Linked DNA regions of Sus scrofa. The protein of the gene in region 1 purifies or fractionates together with the protein of each later gene. This does not show direct contact. Links are inferred from orthologs where the notes say so. Each region holds a gene or a part of one and is shown in the gene's direction. Other genes may lie near its edges.

Region 1 (7,168 bases):
GTTCCAGACCACTGTACTAAAACAAATGTCACAATAAAGCAAGTCCCACAAATTTTTTGGTTTCCTCGTGCATATAAAAGTTATATGATTTTACACTGTAGTTTATTAAGTGTGCAGCAGTAGCATTATGAATTTTTAAAAAGTATATACATCAGTTAAAAAATTATTGATTTAACCATTTTCTGACAATGTAGGGTTGCTGCAAACCTTTTTCTCATTTTTCCCTTTTTTTTGGCTGCATTCACGGCATGCAGAAGTTCCTGGGTGAGGGATCGTACACATGCCGCAGCAGCCACCTGAGCTGCTGCAGTGACACTTGTAGTGCTTTGAACTGCAAAGAATTGATATGAAGAATTACTGCTAGTTTTTGTGTGTGATATAGTGATTTAAAAAAAAAAAAGATTTCTGGAGTTCCCATGTAGTGCAGTAGGTTAAGGATCTGGCTTTGTCACTGCAGTGGCTCAGGTTGCTGCTGTGGTGTGGGTTTGATTCCTGGCTTAGGAACTTCCATGTGCTGCAGGTACAGCCCCCCAAAAAAAGGATACCTAAAGATGCACACTAAAATATTATATATGAGATATTATGTCTAGGATTTATTTCCCCCCTTTTTACAGCCACACCTGTAAGCATATGGAAGTTCCCAGGCTAGGGGTCAAATTGGAGCGCAGCTGCAAGCTTATACTACAGCTAGAGCATCTCAAGGTCTGAGCCACATCTTTGACCTGTACTGCAGCTTGCAGTGATGCTATATTGTTAACCCACTGAGCAAGGCCAGGGATCAAACCCGAATCTTCATGGACAGTATTTTGGATTCTTAACTTGCTGAGCCGCAACAGGAACTCTGTCTAGGATTTTTAAAAAAAATCGTTAAGAGCAACTAAATGAAGTAGGGACTGGGGGATTCTCTCAACTGAGTTGTATATGAAACAAGATTGGGTATGTATCATTACTTGTAGCTGGGTGATTGATACATCAGATTCATTATACTGCTTTCATAGTAAAATTTTTCTTTAAAATTTATTTTTAGACATCTTCTTGAGACCATTACTATTTTTTTTTTCATGGTGCAGTGACCGAAACTGTTGCAGTGATAATGCTGAGTCCTTAATCCACTGAGCCGCAAAAGAACTCCTATAATTTCTTTAGTAATTTATTTCTGTGATAATTATCACTGCAGGGAGATTTGTCCTTGCATCAAATCACTTTATAAATTAAGGCCATTTTGGAGTTCCCGCCGTGGCTCAGTGGTTATTGAATCCAACTAGAAACCATGAGGTTGCAGGTTTGGTCCCTGGCCTTGCTCAGTGGGTTGAGATCCGGCGTTGCTGTGAGCTGTGGTGTAGGTTGCAGATTCGGCTCTCATCCCGAGCTTCTGTGTTTCTGGTGTAGGCCAGTGGCTACAGCTCCAGTTAGACCCCTAGCCTGGAAACCTCCATGTGCCGCGGGAGTGGCCCTAGAAAAGGCAAAAAAGACCAAAAAAAAAAAAAGAAAAAGAAAATTAAGGCCATTTCTTTGTGTTCTATCCAACAGCTTGGCACAAACATCTGTTCATGTTCCCTTTCTCTCTTCTCAGCTCTCTGTTTCCAGATGTAGTGAATTGTATGCAGACTGACAACCTGGAACTAAAGAAGCTTGTGTATCTCTATTTGATGAACTATGCCAAGAGTCAGCCAGACATGGCCATCATGGCTGTCAACAGCTTTGTGAAGGTAACTCTTTCCCAGGGATTCAAGAGCAGTGTCTTTTCAGAAATGTCTCTTGATATAGTAAGTGTCTGCATTGCAAATAAGCAACCTCTGTTCCAAAAGAGAGCCTCTAGAGAAGTACTGGCAATGAGTAGGAATGTTCGTGTTTTAAGCATTCTGTGTGCCAGCGTTTGTCATCCAGTTCAAACCATATGGTGAGCCTTCTGTCAGCAGGGCTCGGTGCATTTTTGCCAGATGGGAGAAGAAAACCAGGTGAAACCTCACTGCTTTGCCTTCCAAGGCTAACAAAGGTTGAGCATGTCTTTGTAGTATCAGTATCTTGGGGCTTTACCTATTTTATCTCAGTAGAACTATGCTTATGGGTCAGAAGAAATGGAAACTGCAGGAACTGCTATTTAATTTTGTTTTATTCAGTAGGTCTTAGAACAGTTGATGAACTTTTTTGTCATTATGGAAATTTTCAAGCATCTTCAGGTAGAGGGAATAGAATAATAAATTGCTAAGTATCAGTCTTGTAGTTTCAATAGTCACCTGCCTGTGACCAGCCTTATTTAACTTATACTCTCCATACATGCTTCCCTGACTCCCCTCCTTTCCTACTGGTTACTTTTACAGTAAATCCCAAACATATGTAACTATAGTACCATTGTCACATCTTTAAAACCTGACCAGTAAGAAATTCCTTGGAATTCTTTTGCAACATAGCAGGGTTAAAGATACGGCATTTTCACTGCAGTGGGTTTTGTTGCTGCTGTTGTGTGGCCAAAAAAGAAGAAGAAGAAAGTAAATTTCTTAGTATTATTAGATATCAAGAGTCAAATTTGTCCTATCATTAGATTTGATAAACATAATAATGAGGTTGTTCGTATTAGTTTTTTTTTTTTTTTTTTTTTGGCCACATCCGCAGTACATGGAAATTCCCAGCCCAGGGATTGAATCCAAGCCACAGCTGTGGCATAGCTTGCGACACCAGATCCTTTAACCTACTGCGCCAGGTCAGGGATCAAACTGCTCCTCTGCAGTGACTCAAGCCGCTGCAGTCAGGTTCTTAACTGACTATACCACAGTGGAAACTCCAGTTTTTAGTTTTTTTATTTATTGTTTTTTTCCTCTGTTTGGAATTCAGTTTGCATTAAAAGCAAAAATCAGACATCATTTCTAAAATGAGCTTGTACTAAACTGTTTTGAAAAATAAACAGCATGCTTTCCTCCTTAAAAAGCAGAACCAACCTAACATTTCTTTCTGGTGATGCACAGGTGGATGATAGTACCAGAAAGAATTTGGTGTCCATTTTTTGGAAGTTAGCATGTTCACAGGTTTATAATGTTTAAAGAAATTTCTTAATGTAGGACAGTTTAAGGGTTGTTCCTTCATGATAAGTATTCTATTCATATTTGACACAGATGCTAGGAGAGGAGAATGTATGTAATCAGGGTCTCAGAGGGCCCTCTCTTCTGCTTCACTCAAGGAACCCAAATCACCTTCTATATCTCTTTTGCTTTCGTGGCTGTAGGCCCCAGGTAACCAGTCCTCTTTCTCCCTACTTGGTATTTGTTGAGTGGGACACATCTTTCCAGTTTCTAATTTTTTCCTGTACCAGAATACAAGCCCTAAGACCTTTTCTATTTATAGGACAGGTCCACTAATGGCTCTGGGGGTGGTAGCATCAGCTAAGCTTTCTGCTCAGCTCTGAAATGAAACCTACAGGACACTTCTTCATTGTGTATATAAAAGTTAAATGAATTCCTAACCTAAACTCTTAGGTAGGCAACTAAGACTGTACCTTGGAAGGGAATGGTCTAAGAGATGTGAGTTCTGATGTGGAATGTAACTGGAAACCTACATTAAATGAATATTCTGTTGTGGCTTACGTACATCTGACTGTTTATTTTTAGTCACCCTGTACACCTATAGTTGTCAGTGATTGTTTTTTTAGGACTGTGAAGATCCCAATCCTCTGATTCGGGCCTTGGCAGTCAGAACCATGGGGTGTATCCGGGTGGACAAGATTACGGAATATCTCTGTGAACCCCTCCGCAAGTGCTTAAAGGATGAAGATCCCTATGTTCGGAAGACAGCAGCAGTCTGTGTGGCAAAACTCCATGACATCAATGCCCAGATGGTTGAAGATCAGGGATTTCTGGATTCTCTGCGGGACCTCATAGCAGATTCAAATCCAATGGTAATAGTTTCTGCTTTTATAAGAGAGTGGTATTTAAAATGAGTCCCTTTATTTGTGTGTGTGGGGGGGGCGGGGGTGCGGGCGTTGTTTGTTGGGGTTTTTTTGGCCAAGGCGTGTGGAAGTTCCTGGTGACGATGCCAGATTTTTAACCCACCAGGCTACCAGAGAAGTCCAGAATGGGTCCCTTTGAAAAATATGTTTAGGAGTTCTCTGGTGGGCCTATCAGTTAAGGATGCAGCATTGTTACTGCCGTGGCTTGGGTAGGATCCTTGGCCTCGGAACTTCCAAAAGCTGTGAATACAACCAAATAAATAAATGAAAGAATAAAATAAAATGTCCATCATTGAAAAGGATGTTTAGGAATTCCTGCTGTGGCACAGTGGTTTAATGATCTGGCTTGCTGTGGCACAGTGGTTGCTGGTCCAGTCCCTGGTCTGCTGCGGCAGATTAAGGATCTGGCATTGTTGCAGCAGTGGCGTAAGCCTCAAATGCAGCTTGGATTCGATCCCTGGCCTGGGAACTTCCATATACTGTGGGTATGGCCAAAAATGGAAAAAAATTAAAAAAAAAAAAAAAGAATGTTTAAAGTACGTCTTGTCATAGGCTAGCCCTGTGAAGCATGACTTATGTGTGTCCCACAGTCTAACACCCTACATGTTTCTGAGCGGAAATCCAAGCATGAAAATATAGGTTTTGTTTTTTTTTTTTAATTGAAGTATAGTTGTTTACAATATTGTTAGTTTACAGGAAAGTAATTGTTTTATAAGTATATATTTTTTCAGATTATTTTCCATTATAGATATTTACAAAATATTGAATACTGTTTTCTGTATTATGCAGTAAATCCATCCTGCTTATCTGTTTTATGTATAGTAGTTTCTATCTATCAATCCCATACTTCTCTAATTTATCCCTCTCCCCCTCCCCCTTTAGTAACCCTGGGTTTGTTTTTTATGTCTGAGTCTGCTTCTGTTTTATATATAGGATCATTTGTATTATTTTTCAGATTCCACATGTAAGTGGTATATTTGTCTTTTTTTTCACTTAATATGATATTCTCCAGGTCCATCCATGCTGCAGCAAATGGCAATATTTCATTTCTTTTTTTGACTGAGTACTATTCCTGTGTGTGTGTGTTTTCACATCACATCTTAAACCACTCATCTTTAATGGCCATTTCGGTTATTTCCCTGTCTTGGTGATAAGTAGTGCTACTATGAACACTGGGGTGAAGGGTCTTTTTTTTTTTCTTTTTTCTTTTTTGGCAGTCCTGCAGCATATCGAGTTCCCGGCCAGGGATCAGATCTGATCCTATGCTGCAGCTGTGGCAACAGCAGATTGTTAACCCACTGTGCGGAGCCAGAGATTGAAGCTGCATCCCAGGACACTGCCGGTCCTGTGTGCCACAGCGGGAACTCCTAAAATATAAGGGTCTTATAGCAAATCTTTGTATCATACTTACTTCTCTATTTGTTCAGAAACAAATTTCTTTCATTACTGTCTTAAAGAAGTTTTACCTTAAGTTTATATCAGTTTTTAAAAAGATTTCTTCAGATGGATATTTGTGGTCTTTTCTGGTGGTGTGGGAATACAACTGAATAAAAGTTATCTTTATTGCTTAATTATTGTAGTCCATTCTTCTACAGAGTACTAGGACAATTCTCTTTTTTTTTTTTTTTTTTTTTTTTTTTTTTTTTTTTTTTTGGTGGGGGCCACGTCCAGGGTATATGGAAGTTCCCAGGCTAGGGGTCAAATCGGAGCTGTAGCTGACAGCCTACACTGCAGCTACAGCAATGCGAGATCTGAGCTGTGTCTGCAACCTACACCACACAATGCCAGATCCTTAACCCAATGAGTGGGGGCCAGGGATTGAACATGCAGCTTCATGGATACTTGTTGGATTCATTACCACTGAGCCACAGTGGGAACTCCTAGGACAATTTTTTATAGCCAACCTGATTATTTTGTGAATGTTTGGCAGTCAGAACCTAATCCTTAATGTTTGGGACCTTTTTATTTCTCCTATTGACATTTAGAATTTGGCTGTATAGTGAATGGAGCAAGTCTCAAAGTGGTACGTTGGCTCTGCTAGTAACTGAAGATCATTTGAATTGAGTGATTGGTCATTAAGTATCATTACTGAGAAGATGGAGGAATTGAGTCCCTGTCTCTCCCCTTTTTCCTAATGCATACTTCTCTTGGAGGTGAATAACATTGAGCTATTCAGTGGGTAGCCTGGGAATATTTCACTGTTGAACTTTTTGAATTAGAGAATTGGAATTTGCCATGATGTAGGCCTTGGGTTTCACTTGCAAAATAACCTGCTCAGATGGTTCATCTTACTCTTTGGGTAGCCTTGGCTTCTATTTATTATCTTTCAAATTTGGTGTCTAGGTCAAAGGATGAAGCAAGCTATAGTTTTTTAAAGTTGCTGTGGTACTACCTACCATTAGAAATCCTATAGCTACTTGCTAGGCACAGAGGCAATACCGGTGTGTATGCGCATAAACCGTGACTTTTAACAGGGTGTAATTACCACCAGTATTAGAAGATTCAACCCTATCTTTTTCCCTCAAGCAGCGCTGTGTCACCTTTTTAGAATTACATAAAGAGGAGTTCCCCTTGTGGCTTAGCGATAACAAACCCGACTAGTATCAGACTAGTATCATGAGGACTCTGGTTGATCCCTGGCCTCACTCAGTGGGTTAAGAATCTGGCATTGCCATGAGCTGTGGTATAGGTTGCAGACACTGCTCGAGTCTGGCATTGCAGTGGCTGTGGTTTAGGCCAGTAGCTACAGTTCCAATTTGACCCCTGGCCTGGGAACTTCCGTGTGCTGTGGATGTGGCCCTAAAAAGACAAAAAAAAAAAAAAGTCTGTAAAGAAACAATTTTATAAGGCAGTAATATCTATTTTTAGAAAATTTAGCTGCTACTAAGTTGTGTTTTTGCCATTGATTTTGATTCACTGTTATTTTGAGCAAATGTCTGAAATTTTCTGAGAACAAATGAGAAGATGGAAAATATTTGGGCTTCACTTCCTAAGTTTTGGGCATCCAGATGAGCAGATCTCATGTACCCTTTGGAAACATTTAAAATTTTCTGTGGGGCTGTGAATGTGGAGTGGAGTGAGGTAAGAATGGGTTCTAACTTACTCCATGCAATTCCAGTTCAGGGAGAAAAAGGAATCTTCAGTGTAAAAGTTTTTTTTTTTTTTTTGTCTTTTTGCTATTTTTTTGGGCCACTCCCGTGGCATATGGAGGTTCCCAGGCTAGGGGTC
Region 2 (7,777 bases), on another chromosome or scaffold:
TTTGTTGGATGGACCTTGTAAAAAGGGACCTGAGTAGAGTCAGGAATTTCTGAGGGCATTTCTGGGATGGTTTGCCTGTGGTGTTAAGGTCTAAAACCTTTTGTGGGGCTGCCTCCATCCTGGGCCTTGTTCAGTGGGTCCTCAGGGTGCATCAGATGGAGACCATTATGATAATAGGGGTGTGGGCCTGATAGAGTTGTGTTTCATTGTTGTGGGAAGCCATTACGATTGAGAAAGGAAGACCCATTCTTGGCAAAAACATTTACTGATGCCTTCTCTGTGCTAGGTCAAATTGTGAGAGGGATGAAGTTGGGAGTTGGCCTTCTGTCCTCATGGGTTTTACAGTCTAGTGGGGATATAGAAAACCCCCCTCAGGAGTTCCCATTGTGGCGAGGTGGAAACGAATCTGACTAGTAACCATGAGGATTTGGGTTCCATTCCTGGCCTTGCTAGCAGGTCGGGGATCTGGCATTGCCATGAGCTGTGGTGTGGGTCCAAGACAAGACCTTGGATTTGGCATTGCTGTGGCTGTAGCATAGGCCAGCAGCTGTAGTTCCACTTTGACCCCTGGCCTGGAAACTTCCATATGCCACCAGTGTGGCCCTAAAAAGCAAATTAAAAAAAAAAAAAAAAAGAAGAAAAGCCTCTCAACTAACTCTTAAAAACAAGTCAGAGTGTTAGGATCATATCAGAGCAGCTAAGGTGGGGTGTGATTTCCTAGAAGGCTTCTTGAAGTAGATGGCAGGCACATACTCCAAGTCAAGTCTTTTTTTTTTTTTTTTTTTTCCCGCTTTTGCTTTCTAGAGCTGCACTCAGGGCATATGGAAATTCCCAGACTAGGGGTCAAATTGGAGCCACAACTGCCAGCCTATGCCACAGCCACACCAGATGTGAGCCAAGAATGCGACTACCCACAACTTACAGCAATGCTGGATCCTTAACCCACTGAGCGAACCCAGGGATCAAACCTGAAACCTCATGGTTCCTAGTCGATCGTTTCCACTGAGCCACATTGGGAACTCCCAAGCCAAGTCTTTATAGATTAGGATTTCAAGTAACTGGTTGGTTATTTCAAGTGAAGAAGGCAGCATAAGAAAGTGTAGTCTTGGAGTTCCTGTCGTGGCTCAGTGGTTAACGAATCCGACGAGGAACCATGAGGTTGAGGGTTCTATCCCTGGCCTTGCTCAGTGGGTTGAGGATCCGGCGTTGCCGTGAGCTGTGGTGTAGGTTGCAGACGCGTCTGGGATCCCATCTTCCTGTGGCTCTGGCGTAGGCCGTTGGCTATAGCTCCCACTGGACCTCTAGCCTGGGAAACTCCATATGCTGCGGGAGCAGCTCAAGAAATAGCAAAACAAACAAACAAAAAGAAAGTATAGGAGTTTCAGTCATGGCTCAGTGAAAAACGAATCTGACTAGTAACCATGAGGGTGCAAGTTTGACCCCTGACCTCGCTCAGCAGATTGAGCATCCAGTTTTGCCGTGAACTGCGGTGTGGTTCGCTGATGCGGCTCGGATCTGGCATTGCTGCAGCTGTGGCATAGGCCGGCAGCTGCAGCTCCGATTTGGCCCCTAGCCTGGGAACCTCCATATGCAGCAGGTGCAGCCCTAAAAAGAGACAAAGAAAGTGTAGTCTGTGTCATGTTTGACTTGGCAGGAATTAAGGCCTTATAATGAACACCTAACACATTCTATGTATCAGAAACAGTCCTTATCATTGAGGCTCCCAGTCGAGAGAGCAGACAGATGGAAACGGTCATCAGGGTGGTGACTTCATAACGTAGAGAAGAAGTGTTAAAAAGAGGAGTGTGTAGCTCCGACTTGCGGAGGTCGGGAGATGCTTTGCGAAGGACAGGACGTGATCCTTGAGTTGTTTCTGGAGAACGTAAGAGGAGTTTGTCAGGTGGACCCGGGGAGGATTTAGGAATGCGGCAGGCACCTGAGCAGCTCCCAGTGCTCATTTATGGAACAATCTGAGTGTGGGAGGCAGCAAGTGGGTCAGGAAAGCATTCTTTCCCCCTCCCAGGTAGACTCTAGCTCCCGGAGGGAATGACTTTAGAGTCTTCTTTGTTGGTATCACACTGTAATAGCAGGTGGTTAAATGAAAAGTTTTGGAGTCAGACGTGGATTCTACTTCACCAGCTATCGAACCAGCTTACGTGTGACACCTATTTGTGTTTCAGTTTCCTCACTTGTGCAATATATTTATGTCTCAGTCCCTTCATTTATACAATTAAAAAATAAAGCGTCTAACATAGATTCTGACATATATAAAGTGCTGTTATTTCTTATAAAGATCTCATTTAATCCTCACAAGCAATCTGGACTTTGGATATAATTTCCCCCTTTTTTCAGAAGCAGAAGCTTAGAGTTGGCAGGTGACTTGCTTAAAGTTCTCGGGACAATGGAGAGCGGCCTCTGCCTCTATCTTCACAGGCCGCCCACCTTCATTTCTTTACGGGCCGGGTTTTCTCCGGCGGCCCCAAGAGTAGGCTCCGGTCCGGTGGCAACAACTCCGGCGCCAGGATTTGGGGGCCGCCGCGGCCTGCGCCGGGCGGGCGGGGCCAGGCGGGGCGGGGCGGGCGAGAGGAGGGAAGTTGTCGAAGTTCGGGGAGACGCCCGCCTGCCCGGGCCTCGCCTCCGGCCGCTCCCTCCGCCTCCTCCTCCCCCGGAGACCCCGTCCGCTCGTCCTTCCTTCTCCTCCCGTGCATGATGGAAACACCATGGCTGCGGCGGCCCAGCTTTCCCTGACACAGGTAACGCGGCCCGCCCGTCCAGTGGGCTGGTCGGCCGGTGTCCCTGGCCCCCTCCCCCACTGCCCTGTGGTTCACCGACCCGGGCAGTTTCTCTCGGGCCCGGGCGGGCGGGCGGGGCGACCGAGACGGAGCGCGCGCGCGCGTGTCTGTGTGTGTGTGTGCGCGCGTGTGTGTGTGCGAGTGTGACGGGGGGAGGGCGCCATCCCGAGCCGGCAGCTTCGCGGCGGCTGCCCAGACCCCGCCCCGGCCAGTTTGCGCCCCGGCGCCGCCCCAGGCGGCGCCCACTCCCCTCGACCCCTCGGTGCCCCTCGCCCCGCTCGGTCGGTGCCCACCTCTCTCACTCCGGTCCGCCTTCACCCACCCAGGAAGTTTCCTCCTTCCAGGCCACACGCTCCCCAGGTGAGCTCCTGTTGAGCTCGCGCGGATCAGCCTCAGCCCCCCCGGCTCAGCCCCGGTCCCTCACGAGGCTCGCCTTCCCGAGCCGGACACCCAGGACCCCTCCGAGCCAGGCTTTCCTTTCTAAACCGGCCTTTTCCTGCTGGAGTCCGGCGATAGCCCTCTCTTCCCCAGTAGTTTCCTTAAGTCAGCTCTCTTCCAAATAAGTCTCATCCCACCGGAGCGCACGCACCCTTGCCCTGCTGGCCCCGTCCTGGGATTCAGCCTCTTCCCCTCCTGATCAGGTTTCGTGCGGCGTCAGATCCCCAGATTCAGTCTTTCCCTCAGTTGTGCTACCACTCCTACTCTGTGGGGTCAACATCGCTGTCCACGCGGATAACAGGGAGTCATCCTTTAACAGGTGTGATGGTTCCTCCAGTCTCGGTGCTGGGAACGACTTGCTCATCCTGGGGGAATCTTCACCAAAACCTGTTTTCAGGGTCTTTTCCTTGCCTTTCTGCTTCCTTCAGAGCCCAGTCCTCGTGCTTCCCGTAAAACTGCTCAACCTCACTCTCCCTGGGAGCCTCGTGCCCCCCTCTCTGTAAAGAAAGCTTGTTGTAATCTTTCCATGATGTACAGGATGATGAGGGGATGTGCACCTGTCAGTCCCTTTCCACTTTTTTGACCAAACCCACCCCAGCCTTACTTTTCAGCCTGCTTTCTCCCGAGTGAGCTGGTGGCTCTGCACCTCTGTGCTGGGGCCCATGCAAGCCTTCCTGCCTGCCCTGTAGTATTTCCCTGCCACCTTGTAGTCTCCTTGGCCTGGATTTGTCAGGGCTTCTAAGGCAAAACACGGGGATAGGTTATACATTTGGGCTGGAGAGTTTTCCGTGTTGGGAGCAAGAGACGTGGGGGCATTTTGCCAAGCATTCTAAGATAGACTGAGTGAAAAATATTCTCCCCAGGAACCAGGAATCACATTGTAAACACGTGCCTCAGGTAAAATAAAAATTAACTTCAGCTTGCAGGAATTATCAGCTTCATAAGTGAAGTGTGTTTATTTCCCACTCTGGTGTTGCTTATCCTATTTTGACAAGCACATAATGGGGAAGAATACTTGGAATGTGGGGATTTTGTCTTGGTGGCAAATCTCTTTGTAAGGGTATTCCTGAAATTTGAGAAATGGCAACATTGACTTTTGAGTGTTCACTTTTTTGGAGTGGGCGCTCACTTTTTAATAGTCTAGTTAGTGATACCCATTAAACAAGATCCTTTAGGCAGGCTGTTGCTGTCTGGCTCTGTTAGCCATTTCCAGCAGGAGTTTTCCTTTCCTGAAGATTTTGTTCTCCTGAGGACTTGTATAGATTTGCTTCCTAGTTTTGTGCTTACTTTATTCTCTTCCTGTAAGACTGTGTTTTTAGTTTCTATTTACTCTCATTCATCTCTGGATATTTTCTTCAGGCTCTGTCAGTTTTATAGACAGTTAAATAATTTAAGTATGTTCTTGCAGTTATATATTTAAATATTAACCTGTACACAGAGTAAATACTGAATCAGGAATATAATCCTTCAGTGTTTCACATATGAGAGAACAAACATTGATGGTTCATTTACATTGAAAATCTAAATAAATCAATTTAGAATATTTTGATTTTAAGACATTAAGAGAGAATAAGATATACTGTAAAGGCTCAGGAAAAAGAACCTTCCCAAATGTTAATATATTTGTTATAATGTGCCTCCTTGTTATTTAAAAACTTGGCTGATTTGTGTTTTTTGATTTTTTTATCTGCTTGAGGCAAATAATCTGAAATAACAATGCAACCTGGTTTCACATTCATTATTGATCTGTTTACTATCACACCAACCCCCACTCCACCCCCAGCACACACAGACATAGGTATGCTTCAGGGCAGGGACTTCTTTCACTTCATCTCTCTCCTTCACTGCCCATCTGGAAGAAAGTGATTAATAGCTGGAAAACCTAAAGGACTCTATGGCAGTTACAAAGATTAAACAGATGCTGGAGTTAGTTTCTGCCTCTAGTTATGAGATAATAATAGTTTTGGAATAAGTTCATTTATTCAGTATTTGTTAAGTTTTTAGTATGTGCTATGCACTCTGCTAGGATTGTCTATAATTTTCTGCCTTCATCAATTAAGCAAAACTGACAATTGGGGGAAAAACACATGAAAAATAATTTACTCTTTCCTTCCTCTTTCCCTTGCCTGCCAACCGGCCTTCCAACTCCTCCACCACCAGAATAAATTATCTAAATTATCATAGCCTAGCATCTAGACAGGATAGGATGCTAGAATAATGAAAACATTAGTTTCAGTCCCAGCTCTGCCAAGAGCGAACTATGTCATTGAGTTGTCTCCAGGGCCAGTTTTCTTAGCTTTAAAAGTCATTCAACAAATATTTATTGAACATTCATTATGTGCTCGGAATTATTCTAGGTACTGAGGATATACTAATGAACAGAATAGACGACAGCTTGGAGCCTGAAGACAAACAAAACATGGAGCTTACATTTTAGTTGGAGAGTTTGAATTAGCTGATCTAAAGGCCTTTCCAACTAACATTCTTTTTTCTAGATCATATTCTATGATTTGGAGATCTGGTGGTGACTTTCCTAGGGCACTTTAGTGCTATATAGCGTCTGTGTTTTCTGATTTCAGTTTTCTTCACTAGGTGTTCTATTTTCTTCTTGTAAGTTAAAACTTGAGTGAGAAAGAGCTTGTGATTTTTTTTACCTAGGGTGGTAGATTACAAAAAAGATACTTCCTCTTTTTAAACTTGGTTGATTGCCCATTTCTTCTTTAAGCCTGTATCTAATAATATTATTATGATTCTCTTTGGGTGTTATTATATGACAGGAATTGTACTTCACTTAACACTCCATTTTACAAGTGAGGGAAGTAATTTGCATAAATTAGTAAGTGGTAGATCGAAGACGAAGGTCTGTAGGACTTTAAAAGCTGTCTGCTATACTTCTCTGTGTACTAGATGCTTGGCATGTCCATTGTTCCCTTGTAGTTTTTCTTCTTTTTTTTTTTTCATTATCTGCCCTGTTTTCCTAATTAGGTCCTAAATTTCTTGAGGATGGAAACAGTGTCTTTTACTTCTGAATCTCTAGTTCCTTTCATGGTATCTCGACAGTATAGTTGTGAGTGGGCAAGTAGTGCTGTTTTTTTGTTGTTGTTTGTTTTTTAAAGGCCTAATCTGTGGCATATAGATGTTCTCAGACTGGAGGTCGAAATGAGTTGCAGCTGCTGGCCTACACCCCACCATGTCAATGCCAGATCCGAGCCTCATCCGTGACCTACCCTGCGGCTTACAGCAGTGGGGGATCCTTAACCCAGAGTGGGGCCAGGGATCAAACCTGTGTCCTCATGGGTACTAGTCACGTTCCTTACTGCTGAGCCACAACGGGAACTCTGGCAAGTCGTGCTCTTGATGATGATAAAGATTTTATTTTATCGAAAGATGGCATACATAAAATGATATTTTAAATAATACTCCAGCAGTTCAGCTTTATGTTGAAGTTTTCTTATTTTATCAGGGATTCTTTTTTTTTTTTTTTTTTTTTTTTGTCTTTTTGCCTTTTCTTGAGCCACCCCAGCCACATATGGAAGTTCCCAGGCTAGGGGTCTAATCGGAGCTGTAGCCATTGACCAACGCCACAGCCACAGCAACAGGGGGTCCGAGCTGTGTCTGCGACCCACACCACAGCTCATGGCAACACTGGATCCTTAACCCACTGAGCAAGGCCAGGGATCGAACGCACAACTTCATGGTTCCTGGTCAGATTCGTTAACCACTGAGCCATGACGGGAACTCCAGGGGTTCTTTTTTTAATAATAAAAAGCCTTTAGGTTCCTTCCTGTTGCGGCTCAGTAGGTCAGGAACCCACCGAAGTGTCCATGAGGGTGTGGGTTCAATCCCTGGCTTCATTCAGGGGCTGGGGATCCTGAGTTGTCACAAGCTGTGGTGTAGGTTGTAGATGTGGCTTGGATTTGGTGTTGCTGTGGCCCAGGCCTGCAGCTGCAGCTCCAGTTCAACCCCTAGCCTGGATACTTCCTTATGCCGCAGGTGTGGCTATTAAAAAAAAAAGAAAGAAAAAGGGAAAAAACCTTTTAGAATGTATATGATCAAAAACAATAAATACTATGAGAATATTTTTTCTCTTAATGCTAATTTTAAATTGCAAGAGTGATATAACTGCATCATAGAAAATTTGGAAATTGGAAAAAATCTCCCATAATTTTATAGTTTCTGGTGTTTATTTTCAGTTTCATTTTTAAAAAGTATACAGAATGTGTTGATAAGCATCTGGTTTAAATAATGATGGTAAATACAAGGCAGAGTATGAAAATTACAACATATTCTCAGAAGCAGAAAAGGAATTTTTTTTCAACATGACAAATTATTGGAGTTCCTACTATAGGACTGGCACATTAATGGTATTTTTCTTTTTTGCTTGCAATTGCAGTACAATGTACTCAGGAACTCTTAGTTTCTTTGAACGATATCTAACAGTTTTCAAAATGGTTTGGAATGTTCAGCATTTGGGAGGAGCCGTCATAGTTAAAATTAATTAGGAACAGTTGGTTTGTCCAATAGAGAGTCTCCCAGGAATAGCCTAA
Region 3 (7,622 bases), on another chromosome or scaffold:
ATCAGATGATATTCACATTTTTACTGTGTGCTTCGTGAAAAATTAAAGAACGAATTGCTCAGTATTAGCCATAATTTTTGAAAGGGGGCCTACGCCTTAAACTAATGATCAACTTCCATATCCAAAGTCAGCTATATATATGGCTACAGAGAAGGAATTTTTTTTTTTTTTTTTTTTTTTTTTTTAAACCACAGCTGTTGTGGTAAATTGGCTCCCAAACTGATCACAGGAGACTTTACTTACTCTTGTGTTGTCATCAGGTGAAATCATGTTAGGCTCCCACTGTGCCTGTTAGGTTGTTTGCACTTCTGAACTGTACGAAATGACTAAATTTCTTAGTTATCCTGCTTGAAAAATATAATTCAAATGTTGTAGGAATGCAAATCCACAGTGAATCCCCACAGTAAGAATGGTCAGCTTATTTCTAAATGGAAATCCCCAATTGTCACACCGTATCAATTATCTGACATAAAATCTAACTTCCATTGAGCAGGAATGTGTTTTAAAGATCAGGTCTCTGGATGAAGAATTTTAGCTTTAGTGGGTTATGCAGCAAAAATGCCTAAATGCAGAGCACTGTTTTAATGTTGGCAGAAATAGCTTCTCTTGAAATAGCAGACAAGAAGGAAAAATGGAAGATTTGAAGCTGAGTCTTTTGCCTAAGCACATTTTCTAACGTTTCTGCCTGTATCTCATTTAAAATTGGATAAAGAAATAGGAGTGGGGACAGAACGACATTCATCTGCTTTCACAGAAGGCACGCACTGGCGTCCTGCACGTACAGTTTATTTGACCTACATTTAAAAAATTTGGGAAATGCCGTATTACAAAAACATCCAGAAGATTCCTGGCTTTTCTTAAGAAATGGAACCTTTGGCCACAGCGGGCCTCTATTCATACCGGGCGGGGGCGGGGGCAGGCTGGATTTGGGACTGGGGCGCTCTAGTTACACAGGCTCTGTGATTTCACACTCCTTACCATCCTAAACGTCTTAACACCATACTCATTTTTGCAGGCCTCACCCCGCAGGCATGGAGACTACTGCAGTTTCCGAAATGGATGCAACGGGGCTTTTTTTTTTTCTTTCTTTTTTTAATGTGCAAATCTCTTTGTTAACGGGCGGGGGACGGGACCGGGTAGCTGGTTTTGCTTCCCAACAGTCCTAAATTTGCCGTTTTCCAACGCTCTGACCCTAACCTCCTTTTTCCAAACGGCCCAACGAATGAAACGAAGTATCAAAGGCGGGCCCTTGAAGTTGCAGCTCCATCAAAAGCCAGCCATGTGACCTTCCCCGAGTCCGTTAAGCTCTCCGGGCCAGAAGTGATGAAAGGTCTCTAAACGGACTTAACAATTGTTCCGAATACTTCACAGGGCTGTTGCACAGCGCACATGAGATTTTGAAAGTACCCTATAGACCGCAAAACGCTCCCGAGCACAAGCGTCTGCTACAGAGGGCGGCAGCACGGCTTCCGAAGTCGGGTTACTGGAATCCGCTCTCGCTCCGCGCTGCTCCCACCTCCCACGCTCCGGGGTGGGCGAGCGGAAGAAGATTCTCAGGGGAGCCGGTCTGGAAAAGCGGCTCGGCACTGCAGCGAGAAGTTCCTTCGCGGGGGTAAAGTTGGTGGCGGCACTTTCAAGCCCCCAGAGCAACATACCAACTCCTAGGCGAGAAGAGACATCCCGCCCCGGCCGCACAGGCGGCGAGAAGACCGGTCACCGGGTCACCTCCCTGCTCGAAGCCGGGACCCCACAGGTCCGGCCGAACCCTCCCGGCCGGGACCCCAGACATCGCCCGCACCCCAACCCCCACCGTCCTCCTTCCCGTCCCCCTCCACGTGACAAGAGCCGGAACCGTCACTTCCGGCGGCGCAGACAGCGCGCCTGCGCGGGGTGCCCGGCCTCAGAGAGCGGCTGGCAGGGGCGCCGCGCCGCCAACGGCTGGGAGTGGCGGGCGGCTCCGGTTCCGCCGGGGCGGCGGCGGCGGCGCGGACTGCGCTCCAGAGGCCGTGCGGCGCGAGGAGTCCCGCCCGCTCCCCGGAGGCCCGGCCGCCCCGCCCCTTCCCCAGCTCCCTCCCTCGCGCCCTCCCGCGGGGCTCGCGCTGCGGGCGCCCAGCTCGGCGGCGAGGGCGCCGGGGGCACTGGCGGCGGCGCCCCCGCGCTCGGGCCCGCCCCCTCGCGCCCCGCCCCGTCCCCGCCCTCCTCGCCGCCCTCTGCGGGAGCCCGGCAGCTGCAGCGGAGCCGCGGAGCGGGCGCAGGGGCCGGGGCGCTGCGCTCGGGGCGCGCGGAATGTGAGGCTCGGCGGGCCGCAGCGCGCACGGACGCTCGGACGGACGAGGGCCGGCGGCCCCGCGCGGACGCCGGGCCGGGCGCTCGCCCTCTCGCTCGCCCTTGCGCGCGCCCCGCGCCCTCCGGCGCGCCGGCGGGACCATGAAGAAGTTCTCTCGAATGCCCAAGTCGGAGGGCGGCGGCGGCGGCGGCGGAGCGGCGGGTGGCGGGGCCGGCGGGGCCGGGGCCGCCTTCGGCTCCGGCTCCGGGAGCTCGTCCGTGGGGGTCCGCGTGTTCGCGGTCGGCCGCTACCAGGTCACCCTGGAGGAGTCGCTGGCCGAAGGTATGGGCGCCCGGGGAGGCGCGGGCCGGCAGGTGAGGGAGGGCTGGGGTGTGGCGGTAGCTTCTCCCGGTCGCCGCCCGCTTCTCTGCTCGCTCCCTCGGCTCCCCCTTCTGCCTCCTGCCCGGCCAGCGAGGCTCTTAGAGTAGCTCGAGGTCTCGCTCTTAAGCCGGCTTTTCTCGCCGCCGGCCGCGCTGGCCGGTGCACGGTTCTTTGATTACGAGTTTAAGTCATTTTCAGTCCTTCTCCACGCAGGGAAATACATAGGAAACGTCTTAGCGCGAGGGCTGTGGTGTCGTGATTGGACCAGTGACTCATTTGAGGGTCAGACCGAGCAAGATTGGGGCTCTTCTCCCCCAGCTGTGGCTCAGGCGGGTGTCATGCGCTGGCCTCTCCACCCGCGCCGCCGGGCGCAGGACCCTGCAGCCCGCGCGTTAAGCCTGTTTGCTGCTGCTCAGTCATCAGGTGAAAAACGATTTATTCCTGTGTGTTCGCGGGATGGAGGTGATACTTTGCCCCAGCTTCAGTTAGCAGGTTGCTTTGGGGAAGCAGGTAAACTTGGAGTCCACTTATCTTTGTTATTTAGAAGCTTCTCTGAGACAAGGTGCTAGTCCTACCATTTCAGTAAGTCTCTGGCGGTAGTTGAAAAGGCGATATGAAAGCAGGTTAACTTTCACTGGAGAAGTTTTGTGTTCGATCCCACCTTATCTTTTACTAGGCTCTGTCAACAGCTGCAAGTCGGCTTACAGAAAAAGTTATTTAACTCCATTAAAAAAAATCCTGTAGTTTTTTTATTTCTTGTATAAATTGGCTTGTAGGAAATACTGCCTTGTTGCATGCTTCATTGACTTTTGAGTTTTAATCGCAGACCGATATTACAAAATACGTACTTTTAAAACTTCACGAGAAATAATTTGTTGATAAGTGGCCCTTGTTAATTTCGGAGATTGAGAGAAGAAATCGAGGACAGTAGCTTTGGTTCTCTGAGAGGTGTTGATGTGGTTTGAAGACAGTAGACTGAGATTCCACTTGTGTTTTTTGAAATGCTGTAAACAGTAGCGAATTAGTGCGAGAGAAAACCCTGAATGTTTTTGTCTACGAACTGTTCTGAAGAGAAATCTTGATTATTCAGGGATGAACATCATTGTTTTGCAAGCTCTGGCCCCTCATTAGGAGCCTAGCTGAGCCTTAGAGCGGTGGAAGGAGGATCCTTAGCTTCTCCAGTGATGAATGTATGGTAATTGGCATTGATGGACAGATTTACTATGCTGTAAAATTTCCTAGCTCTTTATTATACGTGACTTTCAAGTGTTGATTTAGATTGAATTGTAGGTTTTTAGAAGACATGGCTATTAGCTCACATGCTGTACTTCTGTCTTTGAGTTGTAACTGATTCAAGTGTGGCTTGAGTAATACTACACTCACTTCACTTCAGTAAATCCCAGATGGGTCTTTTATTTAATAGAATGAAATCATTGACATTTCATCAAACTAGAGTTTGGATTTGTAGCTTCTGCCCCTGCTCCAAGCATGTCCTATCACTACCCTAAGCACACTGTTTTCCATAGAAATAAATAATTTTGGAAAATGAGAATAAAAATGAATTTCAAAAAGGGAGTACTCACTCAACCACAAAAAATGCTTTCAGTAACTAATATTACTGTTAGAGTGTTTCACTGACTTTTGCCATTGATTTGTCATTCTTCCGCTTGGAAAAATCACTAATTAAGTGCTAGGAGGAAGCAGGGCTTGAGCAAATTCTTGGGGAAGATGGCACTTCCCCACTCTGCACCCCAGCACCTGGAACCAGGCATTTGGGCTTCCCTGGAGGGAAGGCTGAGGCCTAGGCTTTGTTCCCTTGTGTATCCTCTTCTCCGCACGCACACAATCCAAAGGATCTATGTTCGGTTTACTTTTGGATCCTGACAATATATTATTTCAGATGCTTAATGTTTTCCCTTCTTTCCAAATAAGTAATGCTGTGATTTAGACAAGCTGTTTAAGCACCAGTGTGGTTTACGTTCTAGAATGATCGTTCAGGAATTTACAGACACATGTGCCCGTTTATAAAACTCGGGCAAGTGCTTGTGAAAAGGTAGGAGAGTGTAGAGAACCTGAACTGAGGAGAAGTAGAGCATTGAGTGGTGAGAGGGGTGGAGGTTGAGAGAGGTCGAAGCAAAAACAGTAGATTTTACATTTTTGCTTTTTGTGTCAGTGTTATTTAAACGAGCCAAGACTCTGCAGGTGATGTGTCCTGAGGAGTGTTTGCCAGGCTACTGCAGACACAGGCAGCTTGCTCAGAATGGCCTCTGCAGTGTCTTTGAATCTTCAGGAAACCTGGTGTGAGCGCTGCCTGCCCCTCCCCCCCATACACATTTGATTCTCGTTATTCACAGTAGTTATGTTTTATAAAGTTGCCATATAGTGATTTAGTGACTACTGAGGCATTGCTCCTAGGGTTAATACAGTGTTAGGGCACTGCTAGCCTCTGCTGGCAACATTTGTGTCAACCAGTTTATAACCTTGTTTTATGTGTGTTTCCTGTTTAGAGACACCTTGTTTGACATAAGTTGTTGACTCATTAGCATTGAGCTCATGGCCAGTACTCCTGTAACTCATGCGTAAATGAAGCTTATCTAATAATTTTCTTGGTAAGGGACATCATAGCCCTCTTGCTCTTAGGAACACTAAGTAGGGAGCACTTTGGCACTGTGCTTGGGGGCGATTTTAAACAACAGAATCACTATTGCAGAACACAAGAAAGAGAAAAGCATGATATGACATAGAACTTGAAAAGAGCACTTGGTTACAGTATGAGAGCTGAAACAGAGCAGAGCAATACCTCCTGGATTCCAGCTGGCCTTCTCAAAATTTTCACCCCTATGCGCATGTCTGCAAATAACTGTGAAAGTGTCATTGTATTGATTTCAGAGATACAAGTAAATTTCAGCAAGTAAGCACATTTGCAGATACGAACTCCTCGGATTATGAGGATCAACTATATATGTGTGTATGTGTCAGTATGTATGTATGTGTATATCCATGCACATGCATGTTTATGTCTTAGATATATTATAAAACCAGGATTCTCGGGTATGCTTGTGTTGTAGTTGTAACTAACCTGTTGGAGTAGTTTTCTCTCTGAAATATATGTTGTAGTATGTTTGAAAATGCTGACGAATTGCACCTTTTTAGTTCCTGCCAAAAGTTCAGAGGCCTGATGGTATGTGGGGCGTTTTCCTCAAAAACAGTTTAGTTTTAGGAGTGCAGATTCAGCTTTGGGCTGTACAGATGAGATAGAGCTACATGTAAATTTTAGCATGAAACAGTGTCAGATTGTCCAGCACAAATAATACAGTATAACCTAAGTATTTACTAAAACGTAGGACTGGCTTTTGGATGACATGCCTCTGTAGGCCTTCAGTGCTAGTCAGAAGACTAATTTTGATGGATAATGGGAGGAATGGGTTCTCGGGTAGGGGACTTTTATTTCCTAAACATCTTTGGTAAAATGTGGACTTAAATGGGAAGCATAGAGACCAGGACACCATCCATAATTTGTTGACGTCATCTAATCATGAGGTTATGGGGCTGGATAGGAGTGGTATTTTGAGTATGACTGGGTGAGTAGGACTTTCTGACACATCCATTGGGGTCCATGGGGGTTGTTAGCACTGTCAGTAATTGGAGGCCAGGAGTTTACTCCAGAGTTCTGTAAAAGTAGCTCGGTAGCTCTCAGTTAATTGCTTGGAGTAGAATAAGTGAATTTAGGTAAAATGTCAGTTTTCATTGTTAATTTTACAGGAATATAGGAAAATACATTTTATTTTGAGGTATAAATCAGTAAAAAATGATGCATTTAAGCATGGTATCTGATTTGCAGAAATTTTTTGTGGCTACCCAGTAACTTGTAAGTTGAAGGTCCTAGAGATAACAAAGAGAGTAGAAGGGTACGATTTAACAAAGATATCAACAACCATTACTATTCCATGACTTTATTAAATGCCCTTTAAAAACAATGCCAGGCTGTACTAGGTGCTATTTATGCAAAAGAGGAAAAAAACAAAACCCAGCTATTTCTTTGGTCTTATGGAACTTAGAGTCTAGTTAGAAGATAAATGTTAAACAGAATTAGGTAAACGTAATTAGCAATTTTGATAACTGTCCGAAGAAAACATAGAGTTTTATGAGAGAATAACTGATTCAATTTATATTGACTAATAAAGGAAGCCTTTTTTTGGACCTTTTAGCGAAAATCTGAAGCGTATGAAGAGTTAGATAAAGGCAGAGGTATGAAGGTGGGCTGGTTTGGAGTATGTCATGAAGAGAGAGCTTCCTATGGGGGGGAGAGTTTCAGGAACTGCAATATGTCCAGGGCTGTGGATTATAGGGAATGAAACCCATGGAAGAAACCCAAGATGATTTTGGAGAGGTGACCAGGATCCAGATCTTTGTATGCCTTGTTGGAGATTTAGATTTTATCCGAACATGCAGTGGGAGGCTACTGAAGGATTTAAGTTAGGGCTGCGGCATGCTCCGATTGGATTTTACGTAATTCATGGTGTTTGCTCTGTGGGGACTCTTCGAGGGGTGTACACATTAGACAGTTTGTTAAGATGGCAGTGGGGATGGAGATGTGTGGGGAGACCTGGTGGTGGGTTGATTGGAGGCAGGTATTGTAGAATGTGTGAAAAACGACTTGTTCTCCAGCTTTTAGACAGAGGTACCATTTCCTGAGATGGGGAAGAGTAGAGAAGGAACCGATGGGTGGGGTGGGGTGGGGTGGGGTGGAAGGATCCAGTAATTCCAGACGTGTTTAGTTGAGGTGTCTGGGAGGAAAGAAGGGTTACGTGGGAAGCTGAATATATGGTCCGGTATTCAGCAGCAGTGTTGAGGCTTAGAGACAGGCACTTCTGGTCAATGAGCATTTATTTGTCTGTGGTTTTAAGCCCTGGGAGAGGTTGGGTGTAGGGAGAGAGTGTAGATGGGAAGGGGAGGGCTCTCACGAAGGACTCCT

Evidence for each region. Proteins that work in one complex are often made in the same cells at the same time.
Region 2: the proteins of AP2B1 (region 1) and EPS15 purify together in Homo sapiens (affinity purification with mass spectrometry; 3 studies listed by BioGRID and IntAct, with this or other methods). This does not show direct contact. The link is inferred for Sus scrofa from reciprocal best matches to the Homo sapiens genes AP2B1 and EPS15.
Region 3: the proteins of AP2B1 (region 1) and BMP2K purify together in Homo sapiens (affinity purification with mass spectrometry; 3 studies listed by BioGRID and IntAct, with this or other methods). This does not show direct contact. The link is inferred for Sus scrofa from reciprocal best matches to the Homo sapiens genes AP2B1 and BMP2K.

What each region holds. Positions count from the first base shown.
Region 1 is NC_010454.4:39,901,636-39,908,803, reverse strand, and holds part of AP2B1 (AP-2 complex subunit beta), read left to right. Parts: intron 1-1,573; coding exon 1,574-1,709; intron 1,710-3,643; coding exon 3,644-3,889; intron 3,890-7,168. UniProt on the Homo sapiens protein: Component of the adaptor protein complex 2 (AP-2). Adaptor protein complexes function in protein transport via transport vesicles in different membrane traffic pathways.
Region 2 is NC_010448.4:160,651,318-160,659,094, forward strand, and holds the start of EPS15 (epidermal growth factor receptor substrate 15), read left to right. Parts: upstream 1-2,500; 5' UTR 2,501-2,720; coding exon 2,721-2,753; intron 2,754-7,777. UniProt on the Homo sapiens protein: Involved in cell growth regulation. May be involved in the regulation of mitogenic signals and control of cell proliferation. Involved in the internalization of ligand-inducible receptors of the receptor tyrosine kinase (RTK) type, in particular EGFR.
Region 3 is NC_010450.4:138,784,690-138,792,311, reverse strand, and holds the start of BMP2K (BMP-2-inducible protein kinase), read left to right. Parts: upstream 1-2,345; 5' UTR 2,346-2,427; coding exon 2,428-2,608; intron 2,609-7,622. UniProt on the Homo sapiens protein: May be involved in osteoblast differentiation.